Macaca mulatta: one gene and its partners. The protein of the gene in region 1 purifies or fractionates together with the protein of each later gene. This does not show direct contact. Links are inferred from orthologs where the notes say so. Each region holds a gene or a part of one and is shown on either strand. Other genes may lie near its edges. The genes, in order: SORBS3, DLG5 and WASL.

Region 1 (3,653 bases):
GCCCCTGGTCTAATACGGCACCCTCACTTAGAGATGGGTGGGAAGGCCTAAGAGAAGACTGAATGAATTGCCTGAGAGCACCCCCATGCTTAGGAGCAAGCTTGGGACACAGATCCAGGCCTCTGGTCTACAGCCCCACAGAAACTCGTGTCTTGAAGAGGAGGAGGGGGAACCCCAGCGGGCAAAGCATCTGGGGGGCCTGGCACCCGATGCTTCCCCAAAGCCAGCACTTCTGTTGGCTGCCTTCCTTTGTGCCCTGAAGACAGTGACGCCCTGGAGGAAACCGGCACCAGCCCAGGGTCACCGATGGGTCACTGTGGACCCAGGCCAGGGTTGAGGACCTTCAGAGCCCTGCCCCTTTCCCCTGCACACCCCTGCCTCTGGAGCAGCACTTGGGGAGAGCTCCTGGTGGAAAGGCCCAGAGCTCACACCTGTGTATCCCCACACCCCCCAGCTGGTTCTTCCAGCCTGGGAGGAAGAAGGAATGGAGAAATATAGAAATACAGAAATGTAGTAAGTATTATTATATTCCTATATATGGAAAAATAGGAATATAAACTCAAATGAACGTCACTCCTGACCTTGGGTGAATGGATGATCCTGAGCCTCCCCTTCCAGGCTGGCACCCTGACTTCCTTGGGGGCAGCCCATGCTCGTCCCACCCCCACCGTCATCCTCTGCCCTGAGTACCTCCCTTTCCTCTTGACCTCCCCAAATCCTTCCCCTGCCCTTCCAGGCCCAGCTCCCTCATTTCCTCCAGGAAGCCTTCCCTGACCTGCACTAACTAAAAGGGTCACCACTCGCCACGTGTGGCTGTTGGGCACTTGAGACTGGCCCATGCAACTGAGGAACTGGATTTTTAGTTTATTTCATTTGAGCTACATTTCAACAGCTGCATGCAGCTGGTGGCTGCCATACCAGAGGGCACAGGTCTCACCCATTCCTCTCAAAGCACTTGTGGCTCATAACACAAAAGTGGTACTTTTTCTTCTTGTCTGCATAGATTTGCAAAACTTTATTAGTAGTTGTAAAAAAAATTGCAAAGCAAAAGTGTATCGAGTAAATTTGAATACATCTCTAAGCACCGCCTCCCTCCCTCCCCCATCAGAAGGTAGGGGCCATTCACAGGGTAGTGCTTAAGGTCCTGGGTGGGTCAGGAGACTGGCTGGCAGCTGTACTGGGATCAGATCAGGAAGGGTGGGCTGCCAGGTCAAGGGGCTGCCCAAGCAGCCCCCCAGCTCCTCAGGCCTCAAAACCTGCTTGGGGAGGGGCAGGGGGCTTCTGGCCACTCTCTTCTCTGTGGGGACGGCCCATCCTCTGAAGATGAGACCTCCACAGGGCCAGCCCACTCTGGGGAAAGAGGCCATGTGAAGCCTGGTAGGTTGGTCACCTTGATTCAGGCCGAGGCCAACCTGAGGCTTCCTGCATTTGTCCTTGGTCAGAGCTGCCCTTGGGCCAGCCCTGAGGGGCTGGGACCTTGCTCCACTCCCTTTTCCTCCCAGGCTGGAGGAGCCAGCTAGGGGTTGCAGGATACACAAGTGTGAGTCCTGGTCCTTTCCACCAGGTTCTTTCCCCGAGGGCTGCTCCAGAGGCAGGGGTGTGCAGGAGGAAGGGGCAGGGCTCTGGAGGTCGGGAACCCTGGCCTGGGTCCCCGGTGACTCCATCGGTGACCCTGGACTGGTGCCAGTTTCCTCCTGGGCCTCGGCCTCTTCAGGGCATGAAGGAAGGCAGCCAACAGAAGTGCTGGCTTTGGGGAAGCATCGGGTGCCAGGCCCTCCCCAGTAGCCCGGTCGGAAGCTGAGTGGGGGGTGGTCGGCCATGAATCTTTGCTGAAGTAGCACTGGCAGGCAGCAGCAGCCTACCCACATCCCCTGGGGCCCTGAGATGCCCCCTCCCGGCCTGCCCACATACCCACAAACCAGCCATCGTCACACTGCTGCATGACATCCACCCTGTCCCCCTCGCGCAGCTCCAGCTCGTCTTCGTTCTGGGGCCTGTACTGGTACATCGCCCGGTACCTACGAGAAGCATCATCACGGCAACTGGAGAACGGGCCCAGAGGCTCTAACCCAAGTGTTGCCACTTCCTGTGAACGCCCCAGGGTCCCTTCACGCTCTCACTAGCCCCTGCCCCAGCTCTTCGGAGCGACTCTGCCTGTGCTCAGTGCAGTCTTTCCCAGGCCTGCCTTCTGCCCTCTGGGCCCTAAGCCACTGAACCCTCGCCTCCTCTGAGCACCTGGTGCCTTCCTGTCCATTCTACCGGTTCCACACTTCAATTCTACATGCACTGACCTCAGGGCTAGAAACCCAATGAGGAGACCAAGGCCACAAGGCCACGCAGCTGCCAGGAGGGACTGGGAACATCACAGACCAGCGCCTCCTCCCTGCACCAAATCACCATAAGCTCTTCGAGGACAAGGGCTACCTGGTAGAAGTTTCCCAAATCCACAGGTGGGGACTTGGGGGAGGGTGGAATATGGGGTACTGCCTGCCAGTGACCACTCCCCCAGTCTGATCAAGCCCTCAGATGGTACTCACGGGGTCCAGTGTATCTGAGAGGCATTAGGAGAAGAGGTCCCCAGGTCCAGGGGATGGCTGGGACCTCGAGGGTGGGACAGAGCTGGACCAGGGGTGCCAAGATTCTGAGGATTGACAGGAAGAAAGGGATGTCAGAGGCAGGAAGATGATGGATGAACCAAGAACACCGAGGGTCAGGAGCCCGGGCTGGCTTTGGGATTCCATCGAGAGCTCCCTGGGCCAGAGCTCGGTAGGCTGAGGTTCCCCAGGCCAGGGTGGGGCTGCCATACTAGCTTCTGCCCTGTCACCCCACTCGTCTGTCCCAGGGCTGTCTGGGAAGGATTCCCAAGTGTGGACAAGTCACGGGGCTGGGGGATGGGGGGTGGGGAGGAGGTGGGCTCTCTGGTGGAGGCAGGCTACCTCACCTGGGTCTGGGGTCTAGGCTCCTGGGTGGAGAAGGAGAAGCCAGTGCGGCGGGGGGAGGTCTGCCCTCCCCAGTCGGTGGGGTCAGCTGGGCTGCGCGGGGCTGAGGGGGAGCTGGGGTGATGGGCTGAACGGGCGGCAGCAGTCAGGCGGGGAGATGCGGGGAGCTGGGGGCCGTCGTCACAGAGCCGGAGCCGGGGTTCACGAGACACCTGCACGTAGCTGGCGGGGAATATGCCTTGGCGCCCCGTGCCCGTGATGCGCCCCTCGTACCAGTTCTCATTCACTTTGCGGATCAGGCAGATGTGCTCTCCCTGAGGGGGGAAAGTCAGTGTCTGTGGGGCTTTCCTGGTGCCATGCACCCACGGTGCCTTATCTGGGATGCATAGCAAGGTCCCTCCCCAGAGCTCCAATCACAGGTGAGCCCGTGGCTAATAATGCAGATCCAAACCCAGCTCCGCCAGGTCAAGCTGTGTGGCCTCAGGCAGGCTGCTCTGTCTCTCTGAGCCTTGTTTTCTCCTCTGTTAAGTGAAAATAACCATACTGTCACTATGAGGTGTGAATGAGATCAACAGTCCACTCCTTAGGCACAGGGGACAGGTGCTACCACTACTGCCCTGCCTGGGTCCTGTTCCTGCGTCACGCTGGGGGACCCTGTCATGAGTGTGTCAAAAACACACTCCCCAGGACAGGCAGGGAGTCCTCAAGGCCATA
Region 2 (3,064 bases), on another chromosome or scaffold:
TGCCCCCACCAGCCTGGCCACCAATGCAGTGTGAGTGAGGCTTCTGGAGAACATTCTGCCCCCAAGTCCCTCCAAGAAAAAGGATTGGAGAAGGAGGGCTCTGCTCTGCCCCAGGCCTCAGACCTGGCTTCCTGCAGCTAAAGGCCCAGCCTGCAACATGGAGTTCAGGCCCACGTGGCCTGTTCTGGGAGTCCAGCAATGCTGGGTGATCTCCCAATGTGATGCTGTCAGGTGCCACAAAGCAGCCCCCATTCAGGTGGGGCCGTTCCCAGCTGGGGGCCCCAGACAGGGCCCTGACTGAGAATGCTGCCCAGAGCACTCAGCTCACTCCCTTTTGCTTTTCCCAAGCCTGCAGAATTGAATGTGAGGGCCAGAGGGCAGGCTCTGGGTCTCACACAGATGGGCAGCCTGGCTGCAGTCACCAGCTCATGCCACACTGGACAGATGGGCGGCAGGGAAGGGGAGGAAGAAGTGAGAGAGAGGCTGACGCAGCAGGTAGCAGGGACGTGAATTGTCATGTGAGCCAAAAAGAAACTACACAGCAGCCAACTCCAGCTACGTGCTGCAGAGAAGAGCAGCTGTCTCAAGTTTAGAAATACAGGAAAGCTGACCGACTAGGAAGAGATTAAAAACTCGCATCTTCAAACACAACCTTACAGAAATTGACCTTTATTTGTTGTACTAAAGCCTGTTTAACTTTTGATACAAAGTAACATTTTAGTACAGAAAATCCCAGTCTGTCAGCTCAGTACCTGTGTGTGCACACTGTACCATCTCAGTCCCACTCTGCCTGCAACTTAGAAAACAGCCCCTACCCCCAGAGGGTCTGCGAGTTAATACCTTGAGAATAGTCTACAGTTTTTCATAGTTTGTCTGAGCTAGAAAACTTGTACCTGTAAAACAAAGGACAGCATTGAGGACTGAAACTTGTCTCTTTTTTGAACAACTGTGCAAGAAAATATATCCCTTTTTAAAAAACATCAGTATGGCTAAACTACAATCTAGTGTCTAGAATTACAAAGAATAAAATGAAATCAAAGATTTCTCGCTAGTAAAATGAAATGTTAGGAACAGTATTAAAATATAGGTCCTACCCCAATGACACTTACACAGAGCCCAATACAGTACCTATTATTAACAGGACGCACAGCTTAAGGAGGAACCACATCAAATCTTCAGCCAGACATATCCAGCCTCAGAAGTGCAAAAAAAAAAAAAAAAGCCCAAACGAAGACACCCACATTGAGTAAGGTGCATGCCGTGAGTGCTGTAACCAAGATTAAAAAGACCTTAGTTTTTCTTTTTAGACTGTTGATAGTGACAATAACCATTATGCTTCCCCTAAAAGCTCTCAATTCAATGTCTGAAACATGAATGTTTTCATATTAAAAGGAACTGATGTACCTGCCACCCTCTAAAAGGTTTAAGAATTACCCTGCAAACATTGCACTGATGAAGGCTGTCACGACTTACAGAGCCTAAGGAGGACCCAATGGCAGGCATCAGCACAGCTGACACCACCTGGACCCCACCGCGGCCCTGCCCACGCAGCTCTCACAGAGCAGACACAGTGCTCAAGTAATAAGCACAGATGGAGGAGAAACGAGAGGCTGTGGAAGGCAGGAGAGAAAGGCCGAGAGACGAGTTTGTAAGAACACCAAAGTCACCTTCCCCAGTGTGGGAGGAAAATGCCAAAGGCACTGGTTCTGCTGCCACAGGCAGTCTGAGCACCTGCAGTTGTGACGTCCTTCCAGGAGAGGTGCCACCGAGGAGCAGGAACTTTGTCAAAGCTCTGGTCCCACCAACAAGAACCTCCCAAAGCAAAGCAGCCCCCATTGAGGTTCCAAGGTCGTTTTGCTGAAGACGGGAACGAAACCAACACCAAAGCGACAGGGGTTGACAGAGGGGGCAGGGGCTGGGCACCAGCAACATGGAGCCGTTCAAGTAAACATAAACCACCAAATACTTAGAAAAGGTTTGTAAACGAGTGATCCAAAAGGTTCTCTTTGCAGCATCTCTGATCAGCTGGCTAAAGAAAGGTGGGTGCTGAACCCGTCTTTAGTGTTATCTGTTTTGTGTTAAAGAACACGTGTGACAGGGGCAGAGGGTGCGGGCCTGGGCCTGGACCGCACGCAGCTGTGGCCCTCTGTCTACAAAGGAGGTGCTTCTGGGTCCTGGTTCCGGATCCTTCCCCTGCATGTTCATAGACGGACAGACTTCTACTTTGAGTCGCTAGAAAAGAGCTGAGCCTGGCGTCCCCTCAGGCGGCCAGCTGCAGTCATCCACAGCACAGCATTCTCCTAGAGCGGGCAGGCTGGAATCCACAGGACTTTATTTTGTTCTTGATTGACCATTGCCAAGATCTGAGTGCAAATGCTTGACAGGGCTCCTCCCTGGATGACCCCTGCAAAAGAGACCCCCAGACACATGTCATTCAGCTCAGAGTTAAGACCCCAGGTTTGAGGCAAGGCAGTACAGTTTGTACTCTTTCTACTGTGTGGCTGTCTGCTTTGAGCTACTTGGCACTCTGCTCCATCCCCACCTGACTCTCCTTCACCAACAAGAAACTGGGAAAGAAAATTGCCCCTCGTGAATTGATCACTCACATGTAAACTGCCCACCCCACTGCAGTAATACCCTGGGTTGGGTTTGCGATGGTTGGGGGAATCCCAGGGCATCAGAAAGAAGTTTGGAGGACATGTAGCGGTGGTCTAATCGTTAGCAGGATTCTGCAGGAAACGACCAGTTTAAGGAGCCAGACAGCTCATGGCCAAGAGGAGAGTCACAGCACGATGATGACTCCAACTGGGGCCAGCTCTGTACTATAGGAGTTTGACGCTGGGGTCTATAGACAGCAGGCCAGGGGAACTCCAGTGTGCTCCACAGAACAGCACCTGGACACAAACCAAGCCCCCACTGCAACAAGCCACGCTCAGAAACTGACAGTGAGTGTTTAGAAATGGGACGTTTCTAACGGAGTGCTATGGAAACGGGACGTCGTAATTTTATGTCTGTTGAATCTAACAAGAAAAAAATGGAGCTTACCTTTTCCAAGTTTTAGAGT
Region 3 (3,653 bases), on another chromosome or scaffold:
GGGAACACATACATAATTTGAAAGAAACCCCCAAGTGCTTTGACATATTTCTCATAACTGTTGAGAAGCACTGTTTAGAAATGGCTTATGCATACTACACTAAGAAGAAAGGAATTCCATTGCAGTGGTTATCATGGGTGAACAGTGTATTGTACATATTTTTAAATTGTGGTCTGGGTAGAACCTTGCATTTCTGAATAGGGCAATGACTATGTTTCTCTAACCACTTATTTCCAATTGCTGAACGTTCATGATTCTTCACCTTTGGTATTAAGGTTAAACCTATTTTTTATACTATGACAATAGATATGGCAGTCATCATGGTACTCTTATCCATAGTTTAACCTTGATACATTTTAATTATCAGTCTCTTTCTGCATCATGATTAATACTACTTATACCAGTATGTAATTAGAAAGGTACTCTGCAAAAGTTAAGAATTTGAAGATGGTTAATGAGCAGTACAAGGAAGGTATATTTGACCCTCCCACATCTATAAAATAGAGGAAAAGATCATAAAGTATTCCTGCAGTGTTTGATAGTACATTGTCTAAATATTGCTGGTAGAACTGTGCTTTGATAATCAGTTCATGTACAAAAGTGTCCTATTCCTTCTATGTAACATTGATGACCTAGTAATTATTCTGGTTATGTATTTGACCAAGTAACTGAATTTGGAAATGGTTGGCTAGGGAGATTATATCTTAGCTGAATTAAACTGACTTGATATGTAGGTTTTATGAAAGACACGTTATCCAGTGTTTACAGTTTTAAGAAATTACTGATTAGATTATGTGACACTATTTATATATTATAAATATGTTGCATGTGTGCGTGTAAAAGTTATTTTTAATATAAACAGTTATCTTAATATGAGTCATCTGCTTTGTTTTATTCCTAGAGATTATGTTTTGGTAGTTCTTATTTTAATTTTTGACTTTTTTCTAGGATGGGAAACTATTGTGGGAACAAGAGCTATACAATAACTTTGTATATAATAGTCCTAGAGGATATTTTCATACCTTTGCTGGAGATGTAAGTCATATTTTTCTTTATTACCATCTTTTTTCATTGCTTGCCTTTTCTAATCCAAATTATTTATAGAGCCTTATTGAAAGATCAAATTCAATTTACTGTTTTTTTTTTTTTTTGCTGAAGGTGAAATAATGTCTTATCTGCTAGTAAAATTAACCTTTCATTCTTTAGAAATATACTTCTTTTGCTCATTGTTTTTATGATATAAAGCTGTTATATAAAGCATGATTCTGTTGTTTCTGCTTTATGATGAAAATATTTCAGACTTGTCAAGTTGCTCTTAATTTTGCCAATGAAGAAGAAGCAAAAAAATTCCGAAAAGCAGTTACAGACCTGTTGGGCCGCCGACAAAGGAAATCTGGTAACCCTTTTTTTAATTACTTAAATTGGACCAGCAAACTAATGCTCATGGGACAAGTGTGGGCCACTTCCTGTTTTTGTAAATAAAAGTTTACTGAAACTTAGCTATATTCATTGGTTTACATGTTGTGTTTGGCTACTTTTTTGCCACAACACAGTTCAATAGTGATGACAGTGATTATGTGGTCCTCAAAGCCTAAACTATTTATTACCTAAAATATTTACTATTTACAAAAAAATTTGGTGGTCTTTACCTTAAAATAATATTTTTCTTGAGAACTGTTTTTTTTAGATTTACTGAAGGACCCATTCCAATAACATTTTTTGTTGATAAAATGTCATATGTATTGTCTTTTAATTTTGCATTTGTGTTAGCATTGTTTGTTGAGTTTTAAAAGTATTTTATACTTTGTAAACAAAGACTTTAGGTAAACTTAGAAGCAAATAAGCAGAGTTGCTAACAAGATCTATAAACATTGCCTTGTCTCTCTATTTTGTTCCTAATACTATATACTATAAAACCCATAAGGAACCTGTTTATTGTGTAACACATATAAAACAATTACAGAACAATGCAGGATAGTATAAAGCTTTAAATTAATTGGTATAGAACTATTGTTCGACAACAGTGTACCAGGCCTTTCTCTTGTAAAGTGGAGAAGGGTGACTAGGAAAGGGGAACCTTTCCAAAATCATCTTAAGCAGATCAGTTTCAGGAGAATGAACATGTGCTTTCATCCAGTCCTATGGTTCTAAAAACTGTATGCTGATGACTCTCAAAGTTTTGTCTTCAGTACTGACACATCTTCCCTGAGCTTCAGACTCTGTCTACTCAAGTTAAGTGACACAATAGCCTTTAGACTTAACACGTCTGAGCAGAATATTTGATCCATGTCCTGTATCCCGAACCCTAGCCCCACTCAGACCTGTTCCTGTTCTTCTACTAATCTTCCTTGTTTCAGCAAAAGGCATTTGTTCCATCTTATCCCTCAGGCTCACCATGGTCCCTCATAAATCCTATCAGAGTCCTATCAGATTGGCTCTGCCTTCAAAAACTTGTCCTGTCTGACTATTTCTTACCATTTCTGCTGCTACCATTCTAATCCAGGCAGCCATGATCTGTCAGTTGGACTGCTACACTAGCTCTCTGACTAGTCTCCCTGCTGCTACTCAATCCTTTTTACTATCACTTTTCTATACAGTAGCCAGAGTAAACTTGTAGATTAGGTTATATCACTTTCTCTATTTAAAATTCTGTAAGAGCTTCCTATCATATACACATATAATCTATAGTCCTTAACCATGGCCTACGGAATCCTACATGATCTAGTCCTGTTCTTTCCTTCTGACTTGTTTCCTTTCACTGTGCCTTTTGCTCACTACAGTTCAGCCTTCATGATGTTCTTTCATGTTGCACCCTCCTTGGAGCCTTTGAATATATTGTTCCCTTCCTTATTTTATTTAGATCTCTGCTTAAATGTCGGGTCTTCTGAAAAATCTTCCTTAGTCACACATACATCAATTTAGGAATAAGACAGTTTAGTGAATTAATTTTTTTATGTTGATGTTGTCTTACATATATTTAATAATATTCTTCTAATTTATTTTCTAACAGAGAAAAGACGAGATCCCCCAAATGGTAAGCTTTTTGACAATTATTAATCGTTTAAGATTTTAGATGACAGTTTAATCCTTGTGGAAACGTGTACCATACATTAGTAATATTTAGTATCTATTGCATCTTAATCCTTGTGAAAACATGTACCATACATTAATAAGTAATATTTAGTACCTATGATCAAATTATACGGTTTATTGTGTTCTTTTTCATTAATGACTGACAGATGAGACTTAGGAAACAATATTCTTCGATATTTTTCTGACATGAAGAAAGAATACATAGTGTGGAGATCACTAATACTTATATCTTAATTCTGGATTCACAGTTGACTGAGTATACAATCTAGCCTTAACATTTTTCCTAGAGGCAGTAAATTTTGTCTAGCATATTTGTTAATTTCCTACTTTAACATTTATCTTTCATTCTTATTTCAAAGTATTATTTCACACTGGTTATGTGTTACATGAAGCCCCTTTCAGAATGAACACCTACTGTTATGGTGTATTTAGAACTAATTTAGCTTCATATAATGCTCTTTAATTTGATAATGACAACTTGAAGTATTATGAATTCATTTTTTAAAAAATATTAAATACCAGAGAGTAAAAGCAGTAAAAGATAAAGTCCAGGAGTAGAA

The links.
Region 2: the proteins of SORBS3 (region 1) and DLG5 purify together in Homo sapiens (co-immunoprecipitation; 3 studies listed by BioGRID and IntAct, with this or other methods). This does not show direct contact. The link is inferred for Macaca mulatta from reciprocal best matches to the Homo sapiens genes SORBS3 and DLG5.
Region 3: the proteins of SORBS3 (region 1) and WASL purify together in Homo sapiens (co-immunoprecipitation; 3 studies listed by BioGRID and IntAct, with this or other methods). This does not show direct contact. The link is inferred for Macaca mulatta from reciprocal best matches to the Homo sapiens genes SORBS3 and WASL.

Annotation. Positions count from the first base shown.
Region 1 is NC_133413.1:24,236,670-24,240,322, reverse strand, and holds part of SORBS3 (vinexin), read right to left. Parts: intron 3,254-3,653; coding exon 2,942-3,253; intron 2,642-2,941; coding exon 2,538-2,641; intron 2,019-2,537; coding exon 1,912-2,018; intron 1-1,911. UniProt on the Homo sapiens protein: Vinexin alpha isoform promotes up-regulation of actin stress fiber formation. Vinexin beta isoform plays a role in cell spreading and enhances the activation of JNK/SAPK in response to EGF stimulation by using its third SH3 domain.
Region 2 is NC_133414.1:71,851,149-71,854,212, reverse strand, and holds the end of DLG5 (disks large homolog 5), read right to left. Parts: intron 2,405-3,064; coding exon 2,301-2,404; 3' UTR 654-2,300; downstream 1-653. UniProt on the Homo sapiens protein: Acts as a regulator of the Hippo signaling pathway.
Region 3 is NC_133408.1:163,505,921-163,509,573, reverse strand, and holds part of WASL (actin nucleation-promoting factor WASL), read left to right. Parts: intron 1-948; coding exon 949-1,035; intron 1,036-1,299; coding exon 1,300-1,396; intron 1,397-3,010; coding exon 3,011-3,034; intron 3,035-3,653. UniProt on the Homo sapiens protein: Regulates actin polymerization by stimulating the actin-nucleating activity of the Arp2/3 complex. Involved in various processes, such as mitosis and cytokinesis, via its role in the regulation of actin polymerization.